Lytechinus pictus: one gene and its partners. The protein of the gene in region 1 interacts with the protein of each later gene in a pairwise test. Links are inferred from orthologs where the notes say so. Each region holds a gene or a part of one and is shown in the gene's direction. Other genes may lie near its edges. The genes, in order: guanine nucleotide-binding protein G(i) subunit alpha, G-protein-signaling modulator 2-like and rap1 GTPase-activating protein 1-like.

The links.
Region 2: the proteins of guanine nucleotide-binding protein G(i) subunit alpha (region 1) and G-protein-signaling modulator 2-like interact in a two-hybrid assay, tested with the Caenorhabditis elegans proteins (3 studies listed by BioGRID, with this or other methods). The link is inferred for Lytechinus pictus from reciprocal best matches to the Caenorhabditis elegans genes goa-1 and ags-3.
Region 3: the proteins of guanine nucleotide-binding protein G(i) subunit alpha (region 1) and rap1 GTPase-activating protein 1-like interact in a two-hybrid assay, tested with the Caenorhabditis elegans proteins (2 studies listed by BioGRID). The link is inferred for Lytechinus pictus from reciprocal best matches to the Caenorhabditis elegans genes goa-1 and F53A10.2.

What each region holds. Positions count from the first base shown.
Region 1 is NC_087247.1:11,662,151-11,669,900, forward strand, and holds the start of guanine nucleotide-binding protein G(i) subunit alpha, read left to right. Parts: upstream 1-4,750; 5' UTR 4,751-5,194; coding exon 5,195-5,312; intron 5,313-7,750. UniProt on the Caenorhabditis elegans protein: Guanine nucleotide-binding proteins (G proteins) are involved as modulators or transducers in various transmembrane signaling systems. In the 1-cell embryo, probably together with gpa-16, controls nuclear rotation and spindle elongation during mitosis.
Region 2 is NC_087259.1:14,077,941-14,085,850, reverse strand, and holds the start of G-protein-signaling modulator 2-like, read left to right. Parts: upstream 1-4,822; 5' UTR 4,823-5,268; intron 5,269-7,910. Other genes in the region: U3 small nucleolar RNA-associated protein 6 homolog, read right to left, coding at 1-75, 742-833.
Region 3 is NC_087258.1:27,520,416-27,528,094, forward strand, and holds the start of rap1 GTPase-activating protein 1-like, read left to right. Parts: upstream 1-4,637; 5' UTR 4,638-4,681; intron 4,682-7,679.

The sequences.
Region 1 (7,750 bases):
TCGAACCCGGGTCACCGGAATCCGAAACCCCCGCTCTACCGACTGAGCTATCGCGCCTCCCATTGATCTTGCATTCAAAGTAGAAATGCAACAAAACCTTCATAAGAGTGTTCATTGATGTGCTATTCTAGTCAAGTGGTCTATGCAATTTCTGCATCCTGCTATGAACAGAAAGGCGTGCTTGAATAGTATCTTTTGCTTTGAAATCTGCCTATCATAATGAAAGAAATGAAAGGTCATTTGACCAAAATTGCCCATGAGGTAACTCCAAACTGGTCGAGTTGCAAGCCGGAGTTTTCAGTAAAGATATCAGGAATAGGAAATTTTCAAGTGCAACAGTGACTGATTCCGCAACGTGGTACATCTGTTGAAAAGGCAAGTCAAATCGAAATGGACACCTGAGAGATATTTGTCGAAAGTCGGTGAATGGACAGGGACAGCATTATTGTCCCATGCTTAATTCGGACCGGACGAAAATTTGAAAATTATGTTGTTTGTCCAGAGTTCAGAACGATGGATACTAGAGTTTTAATTCACTTAATAGTTTCGACAAAGACTTCTTTGTCATGGATGTCTTTTGACAATAGATTTTCTACGTTCCAATAGTTTACCCAGCACACCCGATGGATCGTGGACGGACTGACGCATATAACCATGATCCGATTCCGTCAACTAGTGTACATTGAAGGTTATAATTGCATCATCCTCCTTCTTCACACACGGATCAAGAGGGGACCAATGGCAACCCTACCGCCACACGTTCCTCAAATTGTATATACATGTGTGTTATGTACTTGTATTTCTGTTTTGAACAGCTAGAATATTGGCAGATGCCAGTGAGTGTTCCAATAAATTCAATTTATATAGATACAATTCATAATGATTATGCTCCTATTCCGATCTCGTGTTGAAACAAATTCAGGGAGTTTCTAACTCCCTGATGATGAACTCTAAAGTTGTTGGTTTTTAATTGGTTAGTCAGTTGGGAAATAAAAAAAAAGGGTTCGGTTTAGTCCCGTAGAAGTTTGTTCATCCTACATAATATAACTTGCATCAGTTTTCTTTGCGGCATATAGCACAATGAACACAAGAAACATATAATTTCACAAATTTTTTACATTTTCGACGTCCTTTAATTTTGGCAGAATTAGACCATGGACGTTAAACCCGCTTTAAAGTTGCTCCATTCAGTGCTTTCACATTTTTCCTCTACTACCCGAAGGAGAACAAGAAGCGGGACAAGAAGAAAAAGGAGAGGAAGAGGAGGAATGAAGAAGAAGAAAAAGAGGAAGAAGCAAAAGAAGGAGAAGAAAAATATGAAAAACAGCATATTTTGAAAGACAAAACCATTTTCTCGTAGAAGTGAACATGGCTGTACGCAGCGGAGGGGGGGGGGGGGGGGGTCTGTCCTCCCCCCAAAAAAATTAACTGAAAATTATCACAAAATTCACCAGACGTGTGAACGAATCCTTCAATTTAATTTAAGACAAATATACAAAGCGCTCCATTGACAAGCTCGATTGCTTCACTGCTTCACTTTCAAGTTTTATCGAAAAATTTTACGCGTTACCCCCGCCCCCCGAAAAAATTATGGGTATGGTAATGGAAGCTGAATAAATCACGACACTTAGTGCCGGCGCTGTTTCCAAGATTTGTTTGAAGGGGGTGCTGTTAGTCCACCCCCCCCCAAAAAAAAAAATGAAATACAAAATATATACACGTATATTGACAAGTGAAAACAGGTCGTCACAATATTAATAAACAGTGTTTAGTATGAAGACAAATTCGACAAGCATTTTCCAGCACCCCTCTCCCTCAATTGAACCCCGCCTGAATTTCAAATTGCCTTGCTATCCCTTACCAATGATCCTTATATACCAGCATGGACCTATTAGGTCCATGATACCAGTAATACCTTGGTCACATTTGTTCTACGGCGGCCGTACGGCGAGTCGAAAACAGCCGTTTCAACATTTTGTGTACCAACTACATATAGGTGGTTTGAATCAAAATTAATAAAACGGCTGTTTTCGACTCGCCGTACGGCCGCCGTAGATCAAATGTGACCAAGGTATTACTCAACAGGACCGTGAGTAAAATAATGGTAAGCAATTACATAGCGCCACCTATTGAGAATAATTTCTAGTCTTCCTTTGGAATCGGTGGATCCAGTGATAATCAAACAGTTTGTTCCCTTTGTGACTGACTGCTATATCATTCTCCTAGAATATGAAAGAGCTTAATTGTTGCTTGAACCAACACCATTCATGTGCGAGCGCAGCGAGCGAGAACATTAAATATGGCGTCTCTTAAAAAGAAGTTCAAGGGTTTTATTCAATTTGTGCTCTGAATAATTTATCATCATCTTCAATTATAGAAAATTGGTAAAGAATAATGCCTTTGGGTGTTTACCTGCTCGTCCGGGAGCCGGAAAGCAAGACATCCAAAAGGAGTCACAAATTATTAGCCAGATATTATTTGGTAGACTGAAAAAAGGACAATGCCGGTCGGAAACAGCAGGGGGGCATGGGTAGGGGTGCCTCCACGAGGGCAAGGGCGGAAATCTCACCCCAAAGGTAGGGGGGGGGACCAGGGGCTGGAAAATTTGACAAGCAAAAAAAAAAGGTTATCACCCCAAGTGTAAAGTCATTTCGACCAAAACACACGTTTTATTTCGATTTTGAATGATGTATTTTTTCCATCATAGAAGACCAAAAATAATAGGGGGACATTTGAAATTGTGTCCCCCTACTATTTTGGGTAGGGGGGACGCGACCATCTGTCCCCCTCTGATTTCCGCCCATGCATGAGGGTCAAGGGCCCCTTGCACCCTGTAGATAAATACACAATGTAAAAACAGGGAGAGACGAGAAAGTGAGGGGAGAAAAGGAAGGGGAAAGAGGAGAGAGAAAAGAGAAAGAGGTGTTCCCCCTCTTGTGAAATTGAAGACCTTTTTTTTTTTTTTTTTTTGCTTGTCAAATTTTTGTCGGGTACGAAATATCCCCCCCCCTTTTGGAAAATCCTGGATCCGCCCTTGGGTAGAGGGGACAAAAAGGTAAGGGGTGAGAAGCAAAATATGGAAAGAGTGAGGATAGAGGAACAAATGAGATGGAAAGGGAGAAGAAAAATAAACAAATGAAAATAGAGAGGGAGATAGAGAAGCAAAAGAATGGAAACGAAGAAAAGAAAACAGGGGGAAGTTAAAAACGGACAGCCCCTGTCCTTGTGTGTAGGTTGATATTTAGGGTATTCACGGACGTTTTATTATTTCATAGTCATATTTCCCCCCCCCCAAAAAAAAGGAAAAGAATTGTGCCCCCCTCTAACAACATCGACAAAAAAGAAAAAAAATTGGACAAGAATAATGTCTTTGATCGCCTCTTATGTGTAATTACCTGCTCGTTCGGGAGCCGGAAAGCAAGACATCCGAAAAGGAATGAAAAGAAAAAAGAAAGGAAAGGGAAATGAAGAGAGAGGGAGAGAGAGATAGAGGGGAGAGGGGGGGGGGGGCACCATGTCGATACGGCCTTAAATGCCCTACCCCCTGAATATTTGTTTTCTTTTCAAAGGAAAGGGAATACTGATCTATGCACTGAAAAATTATCATAGGCCCATAACATACAGAAATGAAAGGGACCAATGCTGGAATGGAAGCTGCCCTCTATTGGCGGTACACAGAATGGGTAAAGAGAAGAACAACAAGAATGGGAATGAAAATAGTAGGAAGAAAAAAAAATCATTATACATATATTCAGTTGTACTTGAATATATTGAGTATATATATATATATGGCCGAAATATATATGTATATATATATATGCCTACATCCTACGAAAGGGCGAAGTCAATGAATGGGTTTATTCTGTCATAATACACATATAGACGTAAAGACGAAGGTAGATGGCGTTAAGGCGCATTAAAAACAACGAAAGAAGACAAAAATAATTCGCCTTAAACACAGATGTATAGAAATATATATATATATATATATATATATATAGGCCTATATATATATTCCCCCTGGGGAACTTTGATTTAAGCTACGCCTACCATTGTTCTCTTCATCCATTTTTTTCACAATATATATATATATATATATATATATATATATAATGTTAAATGTGAAAAAAATTATACATGTACAATAGCTTTTGCAACTCTTGTATTTAAATATATTTGAAAAAAATGAATGAAAAGAACAATGGCTATAGATCTGTATAATTATATAGGCCTATACATAGGTTCAAACAAATAAAAATATTAAAACGACGTGGATAATATATATTTTTTTGCTACAGCTACTGTTGTGTGCAAATGGTTTATGTCCCTAATTTTCTAAAACCGAGGATAAACCTAGATATAGATCTAACAGTTAGGCTCCCACAGACCTAATTAACGTTAAAATGCGGATTAAAAGTTGCCAAAGCTTTCAATACAAAATGAATGTCATTTTGGTTATCTAAATATAATTTTTACATTTTTACACAATTCTTCCAGAATAGGCCTAACGTTTAAGTTACCAGGTGTGCTGCCTCAGGAGAATAATAAAGTATACACACTGGCACTGCACCCCCAAGGAATTTTTGGGGGGTGCTTTAGCACCCTTAGCACCCCCTGCTTCCCAGGGCCATGATCCGTGGGTCGAGGAACCAAATTTTTTTTTTATTAGGCCCAATCAAATTTTTATCCTTTCTGAAATTCTGGTGTATAATTTGTTATATCGCTTCGAATCCGGGACATTTCCCATAATGCCTTTCACAGAGATGTACGACGTTCGTATTGCGATCTGAGAGGTCGGCCGCGATAAAGCATCATGAGCGATTTTATGCGGGTACCGATTTTGCTTCGCCGTTGATCTTGTGTAGCAAAAGTGTGCCGGTGGTACGGTACGGTGTACGTGTATTGTGTGTACGCGCGACTCGACTGGGGTGTGGTGGTATACGGTGAATTTCTACGGAAGAAAGGCTTGCAGAACGGAATATCATTACTTTTGTGCGGAAAAATAACTTGTTTTGGACACTGCTGGACGGTGCAATTGTATCAGGATAACCAATTTTAAATGGAACTACCAAGGACTCTAGAGTTTGGAGAATAAAGAGGATATATCGACGGTTTGTAGACATTCAGACCGAGTGTCTGACCGGCTGTTCTTAACTTACTGGACTGTGCATAAACGTTATTTTATTATTCCAAAATGGGGTGCGCTACGAGCGCAGAAGATAAAGCGGCCGCTGAGCGGTCGAAAATGATTGACAGAAATCTACGGTTAGAAGGAGAAAAAGCAGCTAGAGAAGTAAAATTATTGCTCTTGGGTACGTATTGTGGATCACCATAGCCTACTGAAAAATGAAAATTTAATCACACAGGCAAATGATGTGTTAACATAAGTCATAACAACATGAAGTGTGAAGTGACAGAGCTGGATTTGTGCAGTGCCAGGCCAGTGGCAGTGCAGTAGCAGTGCAGTGGAGTGTGGAATCTTGTTCACTGCTGCTGCTGTATGAAGTCAAATGAATGATAATATCTGTAGAATAACAAAAAATATGATGAATGGATGAAAATTAAATTCTAAAACATGTTTTAACATTATTATCATGTTAGCTACTGGTACTTGCTTTTCACTTGATCCACCTTTTGTCTTGAGTCGTAACTATTGACCACTGACCACCTCTCTGACTCTGACTCTGAGCTGTGACTGTTCGCAAGTTGTTGCTTAGATATGTGTAAAAAATCCAGCTGCTACAAGATCAACTAAAGCAATTACGCAAAAAATTGTGTTGGTGCAAGAAAGCCCGTACTCCTTAGCGAAACATCGCCAACCACATCGGTGCAGAAATGGCATTTTTGTGCGGATGTGATGAACGAAAGTGTGGTGTTAGCGTTTTTGCACTGACATGAAATGCAGCGTTCCCACATGTCATACTCATAAACAAAATTTAATGTGCTCTTTTATATTTGGAATAACCAACAAAGAAAACAAACGCAGGAAAGTGATGTATTACTGATCACTTTCATAAATTCAATCATATCAAAAACAATGTTTTCTAAGAATTTGACAAAACTTCAAGTTCCACCAATCAGAATCACAAATACCCAAATATTAAAATGAAAATAAAGAAAACGGGCCAGCATCATGAAAACAAAGAACTCCAGATAGACTCACTCTCAATGGAAAGCAAAGCTCGAGAACAATGGTCTGTGAACAGATATGTGCTTTACATGTGTAAAGTCCATGCGCCTGCACTTTGTCGAATTAGGGTATTGTCTACATGTACATGTACATTGTACAGGGTGTACCTTGACTTTTCAAAGAGAGTGTGTGGAGCTGATGCGTCCAAGAAATAGGGCCCCGTCTTCCAAACCGAAGAACTTTTGTCTTTGAAATTGTAGGTTTTTGATAGCCTCTGGTGCTGGAGACAGTAGACATTTGAGGCAGGGCTCGACATAAGCAGTGGCCTGTTGGCCCGGGGCAACCAGAAATAAGAGTCGGGCTACCAAAAATTATGTTAAAACCCACACTTGGTGGCTTGATTGGGCTACCAAAGTCTTGATAAATTGTAATGTTGTCTATTGTTTTAGGGACACCAAATTTGCTTTGCTGGTCACCAAAAAATATGAAATTGATGATTTTGGTGGACTAATCGGGCCACCAAGTGTGGGTTTTAACAGAATTTTGGTGGCCTGACTCTCTTTTTTTGGTTGCCCCAGTCCCATTTTAACCAAGGATTGGTGTTTTGCTCACTGCAGCAAATCTACAAGACATTTGCATAGTTTCACGATTGTCATATTTGAACAAAAAATTCAGCCATTTGATTCTACATGTAATCTACATATATGTAGGATCTCTCTGAAGCTAACAAAGAAGAACAAGAACCGGTTTTAGAATGGAGGTAAAAAGGGAAGGAGAATTGGAAATGCTGCTCAATAAAAGTATGACCTCAAGGAAAAATCCAGCTTTTCTCCATGGTTCACTGCAAAGATAGCATGCTATTAAAGATACATGTAGTGACCCTAATTGAGGGTTATATGTACATACATGTAGCCCCCTGCTCTATCAACTGGTAGCTTTGAATTTAAAGGACAAGTCCACCCCACCAAAAAGTTGATTTGAATAAAAGGAGACAAATCTAACAAGCATAACGCTGAAAATTTCTTTAAAATCGGATGTAAAATAAGAAAGTTATGACATTTTAAAGTTTCGCTTAATTTCTCAAAATAGTTATATGCACATCATGGTCGGTATGCAAATGAGGGAACTGATGACATCACTCACTCACTTTTTCTTTTGTATTTTATTAGATGAAATATGAAATATTCTAATTTTCTCCTCATTGTCCTGGGAAACAAAGTTTTATTTCTCCCTGAACATGTGGAATTAAAAAGAAGGGCAACAAAATGTACATGTTTGTATGGTAACTTAAGGTCCCCTGGGTTTGCGCAGGGCCTGCGCATACATACATCTGTGCGATTCTAGCAAGAAGATACGCGACGACGGTTCTTACATGTGCAATACATAGAAAGATATTCATTTAAAAATCTGACTCGATCAAAATGGTGGAAAAACAATGATTTTCGGGCATTTCATGTGACGGCCTAAAAAATGCAGCCTTTTTTATAATAAAAATTCCTCAATTGTGTGTATACTGTAAAGTGAATGGGTGCGCAGACATGGGGCACCATTGTTTTTATCAATCTGAAAATGACTGGCTGAGGTTTTTATGAGAAAATCATATATATATTTCTCCCAAAA
Region 2 (7,910 bases), on another chromosome or scaffold:
CTCAAGAAATCTTCTTTCCTTTTCTTCAGTCTTCCGAGACGGTATTCATGAGCAGTCCTCTTCTTCACAATTGCTCTGCAAAAAAAAAGGTAAGGGAAACATGGGTTACAAAAAAAAGATTAAGATCTTCATTTTTGTGTGATACTGATAACATTTTTTTTGCTTGTCCAGATGTCTAATTCATTTTGGTCGAAATAACCTTACATTTGGGATCTTTTTCTTTTTTTTGCTTGGCTTGCCTTGTCAAATTTTCCAGCCCCTGATCCCCCCTACATTTGGGGAGAGATTTCAACCCTTGGAAATATCACACATTATCCCGCAACCAAATTCTGGGCGGCGTGTCCGAATACTGGGCGGAAAACATCTCCTTCTACATCATGTTCTATCAAAATAAATGTACTATCAGTATCACCACGATCACCAGCAATTTTGTTAAACATGATTATTCAATATATGAGTTCGATAATCTGAAACTGAAAGAGGACATTTTTTTCTTTCTCCTGTCCTGGTTGGTGGATTTACAAATAATAAGGTAGGTATTTATTTTACTAGCAATTTCCCCTCAAGTGTCCGAATACCGGGCGCGTTACCCTACCGACCGTCTGTCCCTAGTTTTGTTTTTTTTTAGCGTGCGCGTGGTGGCTGGCGATGGGCCGGTCGCCCGGTCGGGCTGCGGGCCCGCTGCAGCTGCGGGGATGAGGGTTTCGAATTCGAGCTTCCGTTGGGCCTAGGCCTACTTACTTAATTTCAGATTTTGTAAAGAGTCCTACGCGTTCAAGCTGCTCTAACTCCGCTAGTGTTTCTTCGATATTTTGATGAACGAATTCCGCCATTATTGCTTCTCAAAAACTCAAATGTCAGCACAGTGAATGAAGTTTAAGATTTAAATTACGTGGTGTCTGTGGTACATGCCGTTGCGACGCCACGTGGTATAACTTGTGCATGCACTTTGAAGAATCGTCTAGAAATCTAAAATCAGCTCGTCCTAAAGGCCCATTGAAAGGGGGAAAAGATCGGTATTAAATATTCCGGTGATCGAGTGTTTTCATTGACTGATTTTATTTGGCATCTCTTCATCCGGTGTCACCATATACTAGTACATTAGCATTAGAAACAATAGACTTGCACATGACAACCCACGAAAGTTTGAAAGCCTATTTCCAGAAGAATGTAAAGAAGAAAAAGAATTGAATAGGAAGAGACTAAAATGAGGAGAAGAAGGAGGCGGAGCTAGAGAAGAAGATTCGAAGAGAGGCTAAAGAAGAAGAAGAAGAAGACGACGAAAAGAGGAAGAAGAACGAAGATGACCAAGAAGAAGGAGGAGGAGAAGAAGAAATAGTAAAAGAAGAAGCCAAAAACTACTGGAAACTTAAAAAAAATATTAGATCTAGAGGTCAGGGGCGTCGATCCGATTGGGGGGGGGGCAAAATCATGAATCAACGTTCCAAAGAAGCTCGATCACACAAAACGAACAAACTCACCCACACACACACATAGGCCTATATTATATATATATGCATATGTATATATATATATATATAGGTATCTAAAAGAACAATAGATGCGAGCGCGAAGCGCGAGCTGAAAATTTTGATATTTCGATCTGAAAAAAATGACAGTTTAATGGACGTTTTTAATAAAGAACAAGATATATATCCAACAAAAGATTATTGCAAATCCAAGCAGGAGTTCTTTTGAGGTTTAGAACTGAAAACAGGACATTCTATTCACTTATTTAATCGTGAAAAGTATGGGTTTTTGCTACAAAAATGATGCGAGCGCGAAGCGCGAGCTGAAATTTTTTATATTCCAATCTTAAAAGCGGACATTTTAAGCACGATTTTAGATAAAGAACGAGTTATTATATTTCAATCTCGCTTGCTGATTTCTGTGTTACATTACAATCTTATTTTATTTTTGCACATGTGGAATTATTGGGGGGGGGGCAAAACGATATGTTTGCCCCCCCCCCCCAATATTTTCATTGGTGGGGCGATCGCCCCTCCCCCTGCCCCCCAGGATCGACGCCTCTGTTAGAGGTCAAGTGCACCCCGGCCGTGAAAAATGTTGATTTGTACGAATAGAGAAAAATCTAACAAGCATTATGCTGAAAAATTCATCAAAATCAAATGTAACTAAAGTTATGACATTTTAAAGTTTTGCTTATTTTTCACAAAACAATGATATGCACAACTCAGTGACATGCAAATATCTCATTATGTCTAAAACCAACATTTGGCATTTCGTTTTGGGAAAGTTTATTTCATCCAAAGTGTGAAAAAAAAATTGCCCCGATTCTAAAGGATTTTATTCCTACAATTTTTTTTTTATTCTGGGCTATATATAATAGTGGGAAAAGTTAACTTTTTGCTTCCCAGCAAACTCAGTGAACCCTGACTCTTATTATCAACCATAAGCTATAACTGGGCAGAGGCTATACTTTTTTAAATCAAGTTCTTTCTCCATTATACCGTTTCCCTTCTTGATCCTCTTTATCTCTCTTTTCTCTTCTTTTTTTCCTTTTCCTTCTCTTCCTCTCTGAGTTTCGCTATCTCGTCTTATAGTCTTCCTTGGTGAATCATTTTTTAAAGAATGTCGTCAACCTGACGTCAACCGCTTCTCATTTCGTTTTTTCCTTCACTGTAAAAAATATTGGGTACAATTTTAACCAGCACGAGGGTAATTATGTGTCCAACCATTTACCGAATGCGGGAAGCATATACGTTAAAAAATAAGCAGCAATTACTTTAGAATGGGCAGTAGAAAATGATTAAACTTCTCGATTGGACGATTATAAAAAAGATATGCAGTTAAAGGTTGGGGATCGAGTAGACGTATGGCTAATAAATTGAAATAAAAAAAACAAAGCTCTATTATAATGACATAAAGACACTTTTCCGTCAATAGTAGGAGAAATAATTTTGATTGCTTTGTAAAAAGAATATGTCAAGGTATATTTACTATTCTAAATAAGAAATCGGTGAGAAAGAGACTCGAAATTTTACAAAATATTCGTGTTAAAAGCATTGTCCTTTATTACTAATAACAGGAGCAATAAATTTGATTGATTTGTAAATAGATTGTCAATGCCTATCTGCTACTTAAAAAAAAAACATAATTCGGATGCCGAAAGACGAGACTCGAATTTTTTAACAAAATTTGACGGAGTTAAAAGCGTTGTCTTTTAATGCTAATTTTAGGAGCAATAAGCTTGATTGATTTGTAAATAAATTAATGTCAAGGTCGATCTACTACAAGACTCGAAGTTTACAAAATTCGAGTAAAGTACTGTTATATTAATGTCATTTCCTTATATTTCATTAAATGATTTTAGGGGCATCAGAGTAAAAGTGATTTACGTGCGTGACAGAAAGATTTCGCAAATACGTGATAAAAGAGTGGCTGAAAAGTAATTTATCTATTTTATTTATTCATGTTGTATTTAACAAAATTCGATAAAAATTACAGTGGAGGGTAGTCCGGTTCAGTTATAAAACTGTTTTACAACGGAGCCCTCCACGAATAAAAAGAAACATAAACATGATACTAATCAAAAGCAGAACACATACATAGTAAATGAATAAATAACAGAAAATGAATATCATGAAATAGATAACATAACACAAATCATAATTTGAATAAATATTGAAAACATAAACAAAAACACAAAATAAAATATAAACAAAAACCGTGATTAAGTGTGGCTACACGTGGTATACCCCCCTCCCTCCCAAACTAGGCCAGGTTGTGAAAGTTTTTTGAAGTTATTTAGGGATTAGAGGTTTGTACGGACAATGGTAATTTATTGAAAATAGAATTTGCAGTGAATGAGAATGATCTTTTTTTGTATTCAGATTTAGGGTACGTATGGTATATTTGTAGACGATTTTGGGCAGAATGTCTATAAACAATGGGTCGTATAACAGATAATGGTTTCAAGTATTTTGGTGCAGAATCATTCCAAATTTTGTAAATTAGAATACATTGTTGGTATTTAATCCTCTGTTCAACGGATTGCCAGTTGAGTGTAGTTAAGCGAGTCTTTGATAACTAATTCCAATGTAATTTTGGAAACTCGGGGCATGAATTTCAGCAAAAAAACACTACTACTACTACTACTACTACTACTACTACTACTACTACTACTACTACTACTACTATACTACTACTACTACTATACTATGACTACTACTACTACTACTACTACTACTACTACTACTACTACTACTACTACTACTACTACTACAACAACAACAACTACTACTACTACTACTACTACTACTACTACTACTATACTACTACTACTATACTCCTACTACTACTACATACTACTACTACTACTACTACTATACAATACTATATACCACTACTACTACTACTATACTACTACCACCACTACTACCACTACTACTACTAGTAGTAGTACTACTATTACTACTACTACTACTACTACTACTACTACTACTACTACTACTACTACTACTACTACTACTACTACTACTACTACTACTACTACTACTACTACTACTACTACTACTACTAATACTAATACTACTATACTACCACTACTACTATTACTTTTACTATGCCTATGTAGAACTACTGATACATGTAGAATAGAGTTGTCCCGACCCCTACTTATACTCAAACTTTCTAACAAATACCTGTTTCATCCGTTGTGATTACTATATGATCAGGGTTATTGTAATTATAGGGAATTATACGGTAGTTATAATTTTGTGTTTGGCACTCCACCTGCATTGTTCTATCTAATATTGTTTGTGGTATAGCGCCATCAAGTGGTTATTACTCGATCTATTTCGTACACAAGATACAGTAGAGGGAAGCTACGGTAGATAGCGTTTTGCTTTTATATGGGCGGACAAATTTTTCAACGGCTTTTTCATCGACGTACCTCGCCGCCGATACGGTCCCATCATCCGTGCGCGATCCGTGATCGAGATCGACCAGTGGCAGCGCAGCGCCTGGGAACATCTGAACATAAAAGCCTGAAATTCGAAAGCTGTAACTTAAGTTGAATCGGACATTGTTCCGTGCTGAAGTCTGTGAATCTTCGACAGTTTCAAGATCAGATCATCGATCAGAGTTTCCGTTCATCTCCGACTCCGAGAGACCATCCTCGACTGAATCGCAAGTCTTCTCATTTCCAAAAAAAGGCCAGGCACTGCACAACACAGTCACACAAGGATTAGGGGCCGGCAATCAATCACTGTCACTGTGTCAGTCAGAATGGATATCTTCAGTCTAGTAAGTTTTTATTAATTTTTTAAAAACTCTATTTAATAAAAAAGAGTAGGCCGGCCTAGGAGTAGGACTAACGTGTTACTGTTAGACAATCTAACGCAATCTCTGAAAGAGTTCCCCACCAAAAATAACAAAAGATTAATAAGACTTTACCGTAATATACTAGTAATAGTTCCGGTTCGTTCATTTTTCTATCATTTTTTAAATTTTATGATAGCGGTCCCCAAGTCTGTGCACCTAATGATTTGAGTTGAGATTTTATTTAACATGAATTTCTTTTCATTTCATAAAACCTTTCAGTTGATTGATACGAGTTAGTGTGCCAAATATCTCCTAAAAATTTAAATTAAAAGAAACATAAGGCGTATGATTTTCTTGGAAAAAACCTCATTTTCAGATTGAACAAAAAAATGGTGCCCCAGGGCCCATGTCTGCTCACCCATTCACTTTGCACGCGATCAGGGGATTTTGATGAAAAAGTCTCCATTTTGAGGCCGTCACAAGAAATACCCAAATTTCATTATTTTTCCACCATTTTGAATCGGATTTGTGTATGTATTGCATGTGGAAAGTTTATGTTCATTGCGTACCGGTACCTTCCTCTTTTAGTAGAATAGCGCAGATACGCGTGTGTGCAGACAAGGGAGACTGCGCAGACTTAGGGGAACTTGCCATCTCTTGCTTACCTTAGTTGGGACTCGAACTCGCCTCGTTTTATCTGCAGTCAAGATCTCTTCCCGCTATGCTAGCGAGAAGCGCTGATACCAGAAGGGGTATTTTAACGATTATCAGCCAATTGTTTGACTAGTCTAGACTCACAGACCCAGGGTGCTACATAACTTTTTTGAAGCACTTGCCCAGTCGGGCAAGTAAATTTTCAAATAGTTGGAAAATACTTGCCCGAATATAGATTTCACTTGCCCGAAAAAATCCTTCAAAACAAAGTTTTATTGCTTCAAAACAAGTTATAGCCTTATAGTTTTACATACCATACCATTGACGGCTTTAAAAATACATTTTTCAATATGACTACTGATGTACCTTGTAGTTGTATTTCTTTTTTATCTTGAACATCATGACAAAATAAATGGTAAATATGCTCTTTAATTAATTTCCTAATGTCATATATTTTCCATATATTTTGGAGGGGACTAGGACACACAATAAAAAAAGGGGAAATCACTGAAAATAACCAGAGAAAAAAAATTAAGAGAGGGGGAGAGAATGAAAGAAAAAAAGTAAGAAGAAAGACAGAAAGGACGAAGAAATAAAGGAAGAAAGAAAAAAAAGGAAAAAAAAAGAAATAAAGAGAGAAAGAATGGCTGCGGGGAAGAGAAAGATGGAAAGATAGAAAGAAAGGAAGAAAGAAGGGAAAGGAGGATGGAAAGAAAAAAGAAAGAAAGAAAAAAAGTAGAAAAAAAATGAGAGGAAGAGAAAGGAAGGAAAGAAAGGAATGAATAAAAGGAAAACAAGAAAGAAAAAAGGTAAACAGAAAGGAAGGAAAAGGGAAAGAACGAAAACGAGAGAAAGGAAAGAAGGAAGAAAGAAAAGGTATAAGGATAGATGGAAGGAAGGAAAAAAAAGAAAAGAAAGATACAACGAAAGACAGAAAGAAATGAAGGAAGGAATGAAGGAAAGAGATGAAGGAAGGCAGAAAGAAAAAATAAGGAAGAAAAGAAAGGATGGATGGAAAAAAAAAGAAAGATCAAAAGAACAAAAAAAAATAAAATCAGAAAGAAAGAAGGAAAGAAAGGAAGAAAGGAAGAAGGAAAGAAAGAAAAAAAATAGAAAAAACTTGAGGGGAAGAGAAAGGAAGGAAAGAAAGGAACGAATAAAAAAAGAAAAAGAAAGAAAAAAGGTAGAAAGGAAGAAAGAAAAGAGAAAAAGAAAAGGTAAAGGATTGATGGAAGGAAGGAAAAGAGAAAGAAAGAAAATGAGAGAAATGAAAGAAGGAAGATAGGAAGAAAGAAAAGGTATAGGGCCTATAGGATAGATGGAAGAAAGGGAAAAAAAAAAGAAAAGAAAGATACAACGAAAGACAGAAAGAAATGAAGGAAGGAATGAAGGAAAGAGATGAAGGAAGATAGGAAGAAAGAAAAGGTATATAGGATAGATGGAAGGAAGGAAAAAAGAAAGATCAAAAGAACGAAAGACAGAAATAAAGAAAAACAGAAAGAAAGAAAGAAAGGAAGGAAGGAGAAAGAAAGAAAGGAAGGAAGGAGAAAGAAAGAATGAAAGACAGAAAGGAAGGAATGAAGGAAAGAAAGAAAAGAAAGAATGAAAGGGATGAAGAAAATAAGGAAGAAAAAAAGACGGGAAGAAAAGGTAAAGAATGGATGGACGGAAGGAAGAGAGTAAGAAAGAATGAAAGGAAGGGGAAAAAGAAGGAAGGATTAAAGAAAGAGGTAAACAAAGGTTGGATTGAAGGAAAAAATGAAAAAAGATAGAAAGAAAAGAATGACAGCTATAGTAACAGAAAAAATGAACAAAAGGAAGGAAATTTAAAAAAAGAGATTATAAAGAAGGAAAGATAGGCAGAAAGAAAGAAAATAGAGAGGAAGAAAGCTCAAACTATCCAGTCATAAATAAATAAGAAAATTTATCAATTTCCTTGGCTAAAAAAATAGTTACGAAAGAAACCATGT
Region 3 (7,679 bases), on another chromosome or scaffold:
ACAAATTTATTTAGAATGATATTTTCATTTGATGAAATATACTTTTATACCCCTTTCATAAACCCAATAAAACCTATCCTCCAATTAGCCGCCTAAGAGTAATGCGGATAATTCAATAAAAATTGCGTTCACAAACTCCGAAAATTATCCGCATTATTTTTACGAGCGCCCGTCCTGCAAAAGGCGGATAATCGTCATGACAACTGGACATGCCCCCTCCGATGCGGTTGTGTTGGAAAAGGGTGACCTTGTGACCGCACCATGGCAATTATCCGCATTATTTGGAAATACGTTCATAAACTCAAAATCTTGTCCCGATGCCGCTATTATGCGGACAATAGCAGCATCAGAATAATGCGGATAACTCTTGTCCTCCTCTGATTTTACGACCAAATTATGCTGCTATTAGCCGCATAATTGGGTTTTATTGGGTTTATGAAAGGGGTATAAGTAGCATATTGGACATGGAAATGGTCTGCATTGTAGACCCATGGCATGATAGGACCATGGAACTAGGCTTAATTCTACAAAAGGCGGTTTCAAACCACCTCGATCACAAGAATCTCCGATACATTACGAGAACATTTTTAGGCTAAAAAATACCCATTAATTATTCCTGCATTCACACCGCCCCGAAACATACCCTTCGGGATAAATTCCTGAAGTTAGGAGCATGCGCAGTATGGTCTAATAAGCAGGCAAGGCGCGAGATTCAAAACCACTAGCCCAGCAGCCACCCACGGCGCCCGCGCCCAACGACACGCTGGGCTAAAAGTTCCCGTAAATTGCTTTCACATTGCCAAAATACCTGCGACCTTGGAAAAATCCCCGCGAAAGTTCTCGTAATTTCGCCAAGTACCTACTATTTAGCGGGTATTTTCTTTCGGGGAAATTACGCGTAGTTTGCTTTCACATTACCAAAATACCTGGTATTTTCTGATCGGAGTGAATTTCCCCGATCAGAGAATACCTGGAACTGACGAACTTCGAGGCGGTCTGAAACCACCTATTCTCTTTCCTTGTGGGACCAAATAACTTTGAGTAATATCTAATGTTTGTCTGGGTTAGGGCTTAGACTAGAGCCAGGTTATCTTCATCAGATAGTGTGTGCTTTATTATGGAGTCTGGATGGTGAATGTTTTTTATTATGTGATGTTACAGATGATTCTGGCCAATTGTTAATTGGACTTTTTACATCTCTTTGTCCTTGAGATGATGGAAGCCTACCACCCCCCTCTTGTTCTCTCTCTCTCTCTCTCTGTGACTCCCTCCCCTCTTTTTCTTCCCACTCTGTCTATCTTTCTCTTTCTTCCCCCATTCTCTCTCATTCTCTTCCTTTCTATCTCCCCTTCTGTCCGTCTCCCCCCTCCTCTCTCTTTCATCATCACTTCCTAAGAACACAGCCTGTTTCCTGTTTGACAGCAGGTTCATTGTTGAGTTACATAACTTTCAAATAACAACCATTTTCCATGCCCGAAGATTTTCTTTTTACGATGGGGAAGCCAGAATGAAGCATCATAATGAAGATACCTGACTTCCCTGTAACTTATGTCTACCATATCAAGGGGCTTCCAAAAAAGGAGCAATAGTCGCTTTCATTGGATTATGCAATGAGACAGGTGCATTGTTATGTCATTCCAAAAATAAAAAAACATAAAAAAGTCATCCTAACTCGACCCATTCTATAATATCTCCCTTGCTTTCCTGAAGGTAAAAGCCTGGTTGCCTGACGTGTATTTTATAATCTGGCAGCATACATAGACCTAGTATTAGTTTGTATTAACTTCTTGACTGTTGAATTTTATTAACTAGGCCTATATAGTACATTCAGTGGCTTCTCAAAACCCAAGACTGAGTCTGCAGGCAGAGACTATAGGCATTATTTTGCAATTTAGCTTCAGGACATGATTTCCATTCCTGTCTTGTAGTCTGAAAGTTCAGACCTTTATGTTGTGTTTCAACAAATGGGGGGTTTGGGGATGCAAGAAAGTTGTGTCCGAGTACATAACCCTTCTGGGAGGTTACTGTGCAGATGGACCTTTAAAATCAGTAATGCAATACTATTGTATTATAGGGAAAATGGGGATATATCAGAATATTTTGCCCCTTTTTTTCATTGGCTGGCTTTTTTGGGGGAGGGGGATGGTGACATGGGATGACTAATGATGCAATGTACTCATATTATTACCTTCTGTGTAAATAACCATTTGAAATCATCAGCCATGATGGTTCCAGGGAAGAGGGAGTTAGTCAGACTTCATTGATAAGTTTGTTTTTAGTTAGATAACGTTGGGACCGTCTCTTGAAAATTAGCATTTTTAAGTAGACCTCCAGACGTTGTGGCGTTGGTATGAGTCAAGAGCGGATTAGAGCCAACATTCCTTTCTTCATTGAATGGTTTATGGAAACATGTGCTTGAAAGTAAATGAATGCTGGTGATGATTGGATGATGTCCTTAATTTTTTTTTTCGGTATGAAATACGAAACATGTCACTTTTGTGTAGGCCTAACTCTCCCCCAAGAAGGGGAGGTGGTGCACATCAAGTTTCATTGCAGATTATGTGAAAAGAGAAAATCCCTTTCTTACCATGTTGTTTTTCATTATCTGCAATTGTATCTGCAATTGTGATTGCACCAAATGCTAATATGCTTTTCACACTGCACTTTTTTCCTTAACTCAGGGAAATTGGTGGGGCTAACGGGGGTCTTAGCCCCACCAATATCCTGGGGTTAAGCTTAGCCCGATTCGGTTTCACTGCGTTTTAGCGAAGTGGGCTAGCACGGTAAATTGTACGGTATTATCTGGCCCTGCTAAAAAGCAGGGTAAGCCGGCTTATTGCGGTGCTAAGAGATGCAGTGTAAAACGAAACCGGACTAAGGAAAAGTGGGCTAAGCATTAGCCTATTGCAGAAGTCGAAATTGCATGTTAATCATGCTCATTATCGATCACAAGAATCCCCGTTAAATTACGAGAAAATTTTTAGGCTAAAAATACCCATTAATTATTCCTGCATTTACACCGCCCCGAAACATACCCTTCGCGATAAATTCCTGAAGTTAGGAGCATGCGCAGTATGGTCTAATAAGCAGGCAAGGCGCGAGATTCAAAATCACTAGCCCAGCAGCCACCCACGGCGCCCGCGCCCAACGACACGCTGGGCTAAAAGTTCCCGTAAATTGCTTTTACATTGCCAAAATACCTGCAACCTTGGAAAAATCCCCGCGAAAGTTCTCGTAATTTCGCCAAATACCTACTATTTAGCGGGTATTTTCTTTCGGGGAAATTACGCATAGTTTGCTTTCACATTACCAAAATACCTGGTATTTTCTGATCGGGGTAAATTTCCCGATCAGAGAATACCTGGAACTGACGAACTTCGAGGCGGTCTGAAACCACCTTGTGTGGCCAAATCATCAATATTCATGCGCTGTGCTATAGTCCAGGGTTAAGGCGTTACCCACGGCTTAGCAAATAGTATGGGGTTCAGAAAGACAGTGTGAAACAACAAAAAATAGAATGGGGTTAAGGAAATGCAGTGTGAACAGCATATAAGTGTTTGGAGCATCATAATCATCACATCTGTCTGGAATTAAAGTACTGGCCTGGAAAATACCAGACTAGCATGCTGCCTGTTTGGCTCAAGACCTGACGCCAGCCAGCTTTTCAAAAGACCAGTCAACTAGTGTTTTTTTTTTACTTTACCACTCATTATCCATAGCCTATGAATAAAAGATTGATAAGCAACCTATTTACACTAGGAAAAAGATCAAAGAAAAAATGTAAGAAGTGTATACCACAAACAATGTCTTGAGAAAGAGATAAGAATGGTATGCACTGCACTATCAAGTTCATTAGTCTCATTAAGAAAACATATGCTGGTAGTGGCATAGCAGTATTATTTTGTAATTCGATAAATTTCATTGTGTGAATGGGTGCAGTATTGAGAAGCTTGACCCGCTCCTTGGTGAACCATTCTCAAGATGTTTCAGATTTCTCGGTTTTACTCATGTGCAAGTAATCATCATTCAAGAACAAAACCTAATGAAGTTTTTTTTGTTTACATCCTGACTCTGTTGGTCAATAGAGTGCAATCTTATCCATGCTTTGTTGGGGGTTTTTTTCCAACAAGATTCCTGAAGTCAGGCATTTTGTTTTTTTATTTCTCTCAACGAATGTCTTTGTTTTGTTGCCTGTCTCCTACATTGTGAAATGCCTTTAATCCAATTGCATAATATTTATTGAAGGCATATGTACCTGTTATTCATTATCCATGCCTCAATGTACCTGATAATTTATTCTGCATGTTCATATCTGCCATAACCAGATCAATTTCCTGTAATAATGAACCAGCAACAATGGTATTGAAAAATGCAAATTTTCTTCTGCCTCCCATTGTATTTGTAGGCCCGACTTCTTATCACAAACATTCTTGCAACTTTTGAAGGTATATGTAATTCAATCTTGTATTAAACTATGTCACAATATGCTTTGCGGTTTGTATTCCGTTATCATTTTACTTATAAAAAAACGTCAAAATTTTCATTGACTCACTCTCGACATTAGATTGTATTTTGCATAAAATGCTGATATCAAACGTAATTGTATAATTTTCATTTTCATTTTATTTTTCAGAAAAACGATGCAGAATTAGATTTCTTTGAGTTCCTCGAAAAGATACAGGTAAGAAATTCTTATTTTCTGTCATTCTTTTTTTTTCTTCTTTTTTACCCCTTCCTCTCTCACTCTGTTCCTATTCCCAATCTCTCAGCATTGCATGTACTGTATGTGCTTCATAAATCCACCAATGTTCAACATGATGTCAACACAATAGCAGGTGCCATGCTACTAACTTGTCAAAATAATCCTCTTAAAATAAGAAGTCATTGGTTTTTAGGCGCAGACAAGCTAGCTCTCAAACATCAGTCAGTATACACTCCAAAGGCTTATCATGTTTACAAGTAATTTCATCCTGACAGAAACAATTGAACTAAATGTTCAAAAATCTTTATTAAAAAAAAATTCAAAGGTTTAAAAACATCTGTTCATATTAGTGAAAGTATGTTATGTATCCTTTGTTAGAAATAACAATAATTCTCAACATTTCAAGCTCATGTTAATACGAGTGTATTTTTCGCATTAAGGCTAAATTAAAGTCAAATATAATAAATATAACAGAGCATTCCAGTTCTTTATAATGGTATTCAACCCCTTGAAAATGATAAAATGTCAAATTGTAAGTATTAATTTTTCGATTTGTTTTGTTTTTGTTTAAAAAAAATAAAGATTGGTATTGAATTCCAGCATATTTCACTCCTCCATTCAAGATAATGCTTTGAGAAGTAAAGACGTTATTGGCAATGTAATGTTTTCATGCGAAATATTTTGATATAATAGATTTAACTGAGATCAACTAGTTGTAATTCCTATAAAATTCTATCACAAATATTTCCAGAAAATGTTTTGATGATGTTTGCTATGTTATTCTGTTATATCCTTGAGTGTATACATCATGGGCCTGATTAGACCTCAAGCCAATTTATAAAATTGAGTCTCAAGCATTCAACAGCTGACCATTAAAACCCTTTATCCTCTTCATTACTCAACTCACAATGAAAGATGGAATTATTGTTGCCTGGAGGTGATCGCACCAAATTACATGGTAATGAATTTCAGCAGACCAGAACTAATTAATCAATTTGCCAAGTTGTCTTTCAGCGGAGGCGATACAAATTTGCACTGTGAATCACGCGGGACCCAACCCTTCAGGGGGAACCGAAATCAAATTAAATCATCTAAATCAATTTTTAGAAAAGTAAGGATGTTATGATCACCCTGGGCGTATTATTTGTCCGCTAGGTCAGTCTGGTTGCTTGCCCCTCACCTCTCTTGATCTTTCACTTTCTTACTTTATTTTGATATTTTTCGCCCTCTTCCATTTTTCTTGTTTTTCCTATCACCAGCAGTTCTTTTCAATTTTTCTTGCTATTTATTTACTCTACTTTCACTTTATTTTGCTCCCGTGCTGTTTAAAAATAGTTCTTTTAAAAACGAATACTCATTCTACCTTTACCTTACTTTTCTCATGTTGTATCAAGTCTGCCAATACATTTTCTTTTGAATAGTTACATTTTCTTTTGAATAGTTACATTATAGTTTCTTACTCTACTTTCCTCCCATATCTCATACAAGCTCAGCTCCAATTTTTCCTTCCTTATTCAGGCGATATAATAATTATTATATATATATATATATATATATATAAATGTGTGAAGTTATACATGTATATATATATATATGTTCCAGAACCTGTTTGATGTTGCCTGCCTCATTATTTTAATCCCTCTTGGCTTGAGGTCTTTTACTGGCCTTACTTACACTAACTTCCCTTTGTGTCTGCCTACTCCTTTTCTTTCATCCCCTTCACTAACCTGATTGGTCTTCTCTACTCACTAATGCCCCTTTTGTCTCCTTGTTTCTAGTGTTGCTGTAGCTTGTTTGTGGTCTATATTATGGTTGTTCCACTTTATATGTTTGTCATTTTGCCTCCGACGAAGATTCTGCTAGGATCGAAAGCTTAGGCCCCTTTTTGACTTTCTAATACATTTTCTTATAACGATTCAGTCACCACTCTCAATGAAGAATCAGATTTGATAAAAACAGAGACTATCGCTGTTGAGAAAGTTCATCCGTGATTATTTTTGTCTTATTCACCATCCCTGTTTCAGTCATTCTATAGTTTCTTGTAAACCACTGATGTGTGTTAGCAGCTATAAATAGAGTGCTTATTCCCTCACATTTCGCCTGGTGATATTTGGACAATAAATTTTCTGGAAGACTCTGGAGACGTTGAAAGAGAAATTTCACCTCTTGTCGTTTGAATGCAATTATTGAACGGTTGCTATTGGCAACAGTGGAGAATAGCGCACAATTTGGACCAATTTCGTGGGTGTTATTTATTGTGTCATGTTTAGTATTAATCTTAATTTTTCCATGTACACCTCTATTTCTCTATCCCCCCCTCTCCCTCTCTCTGAACTTAAATTTCATTTCGTCTTGTGGTTTCATTTTTCATATTATCAACCTGTCAAATCCTTTCTAATTTTCTCTTTCATTGATAAGATACCAGTTATTAATCAATGTTGTGCTATGATGTACATATATTATTTAGAGTTTAGTAGAATCTTGAAAAGGAAGTACTGCCTGAAACGGTGTGTTACAAGGTGTTCCACAAAAAATGGAACATTGTTTTGAGGATTACTAGTTATTGGCTTTCAAAATGTTTCAATTCTATTTGCTTCATCGGTTAAAGCCTCTTGTATCAGAGCAAGGGAAATCCAGAGCATTTAATTTGGTGAAGTAGAAAACAAAATTATTAATATTCTGAGGCAATTGAATTTGGAACAACTTTTCCTTTTTTTGGACACCTTATACTGATGCATGCTTGAGCACGACATAATGCAGCATGACCTGAATGTATGATGTAGGTCTTGTATGTCACTGATTGTATCATCTACACTCAATCTCTCTAATCTTTCGTGCTACTAATAGTCAGACTGGTGAAACCAACCCCTCCAGACCGACCAAACCTATTACATTATTACCAATGACATACCAATGCTTGGTTTGGGGTCGGTTTCATTGGTGTGTCTGTAGCGTTAGATATTAACCTACTCATCAT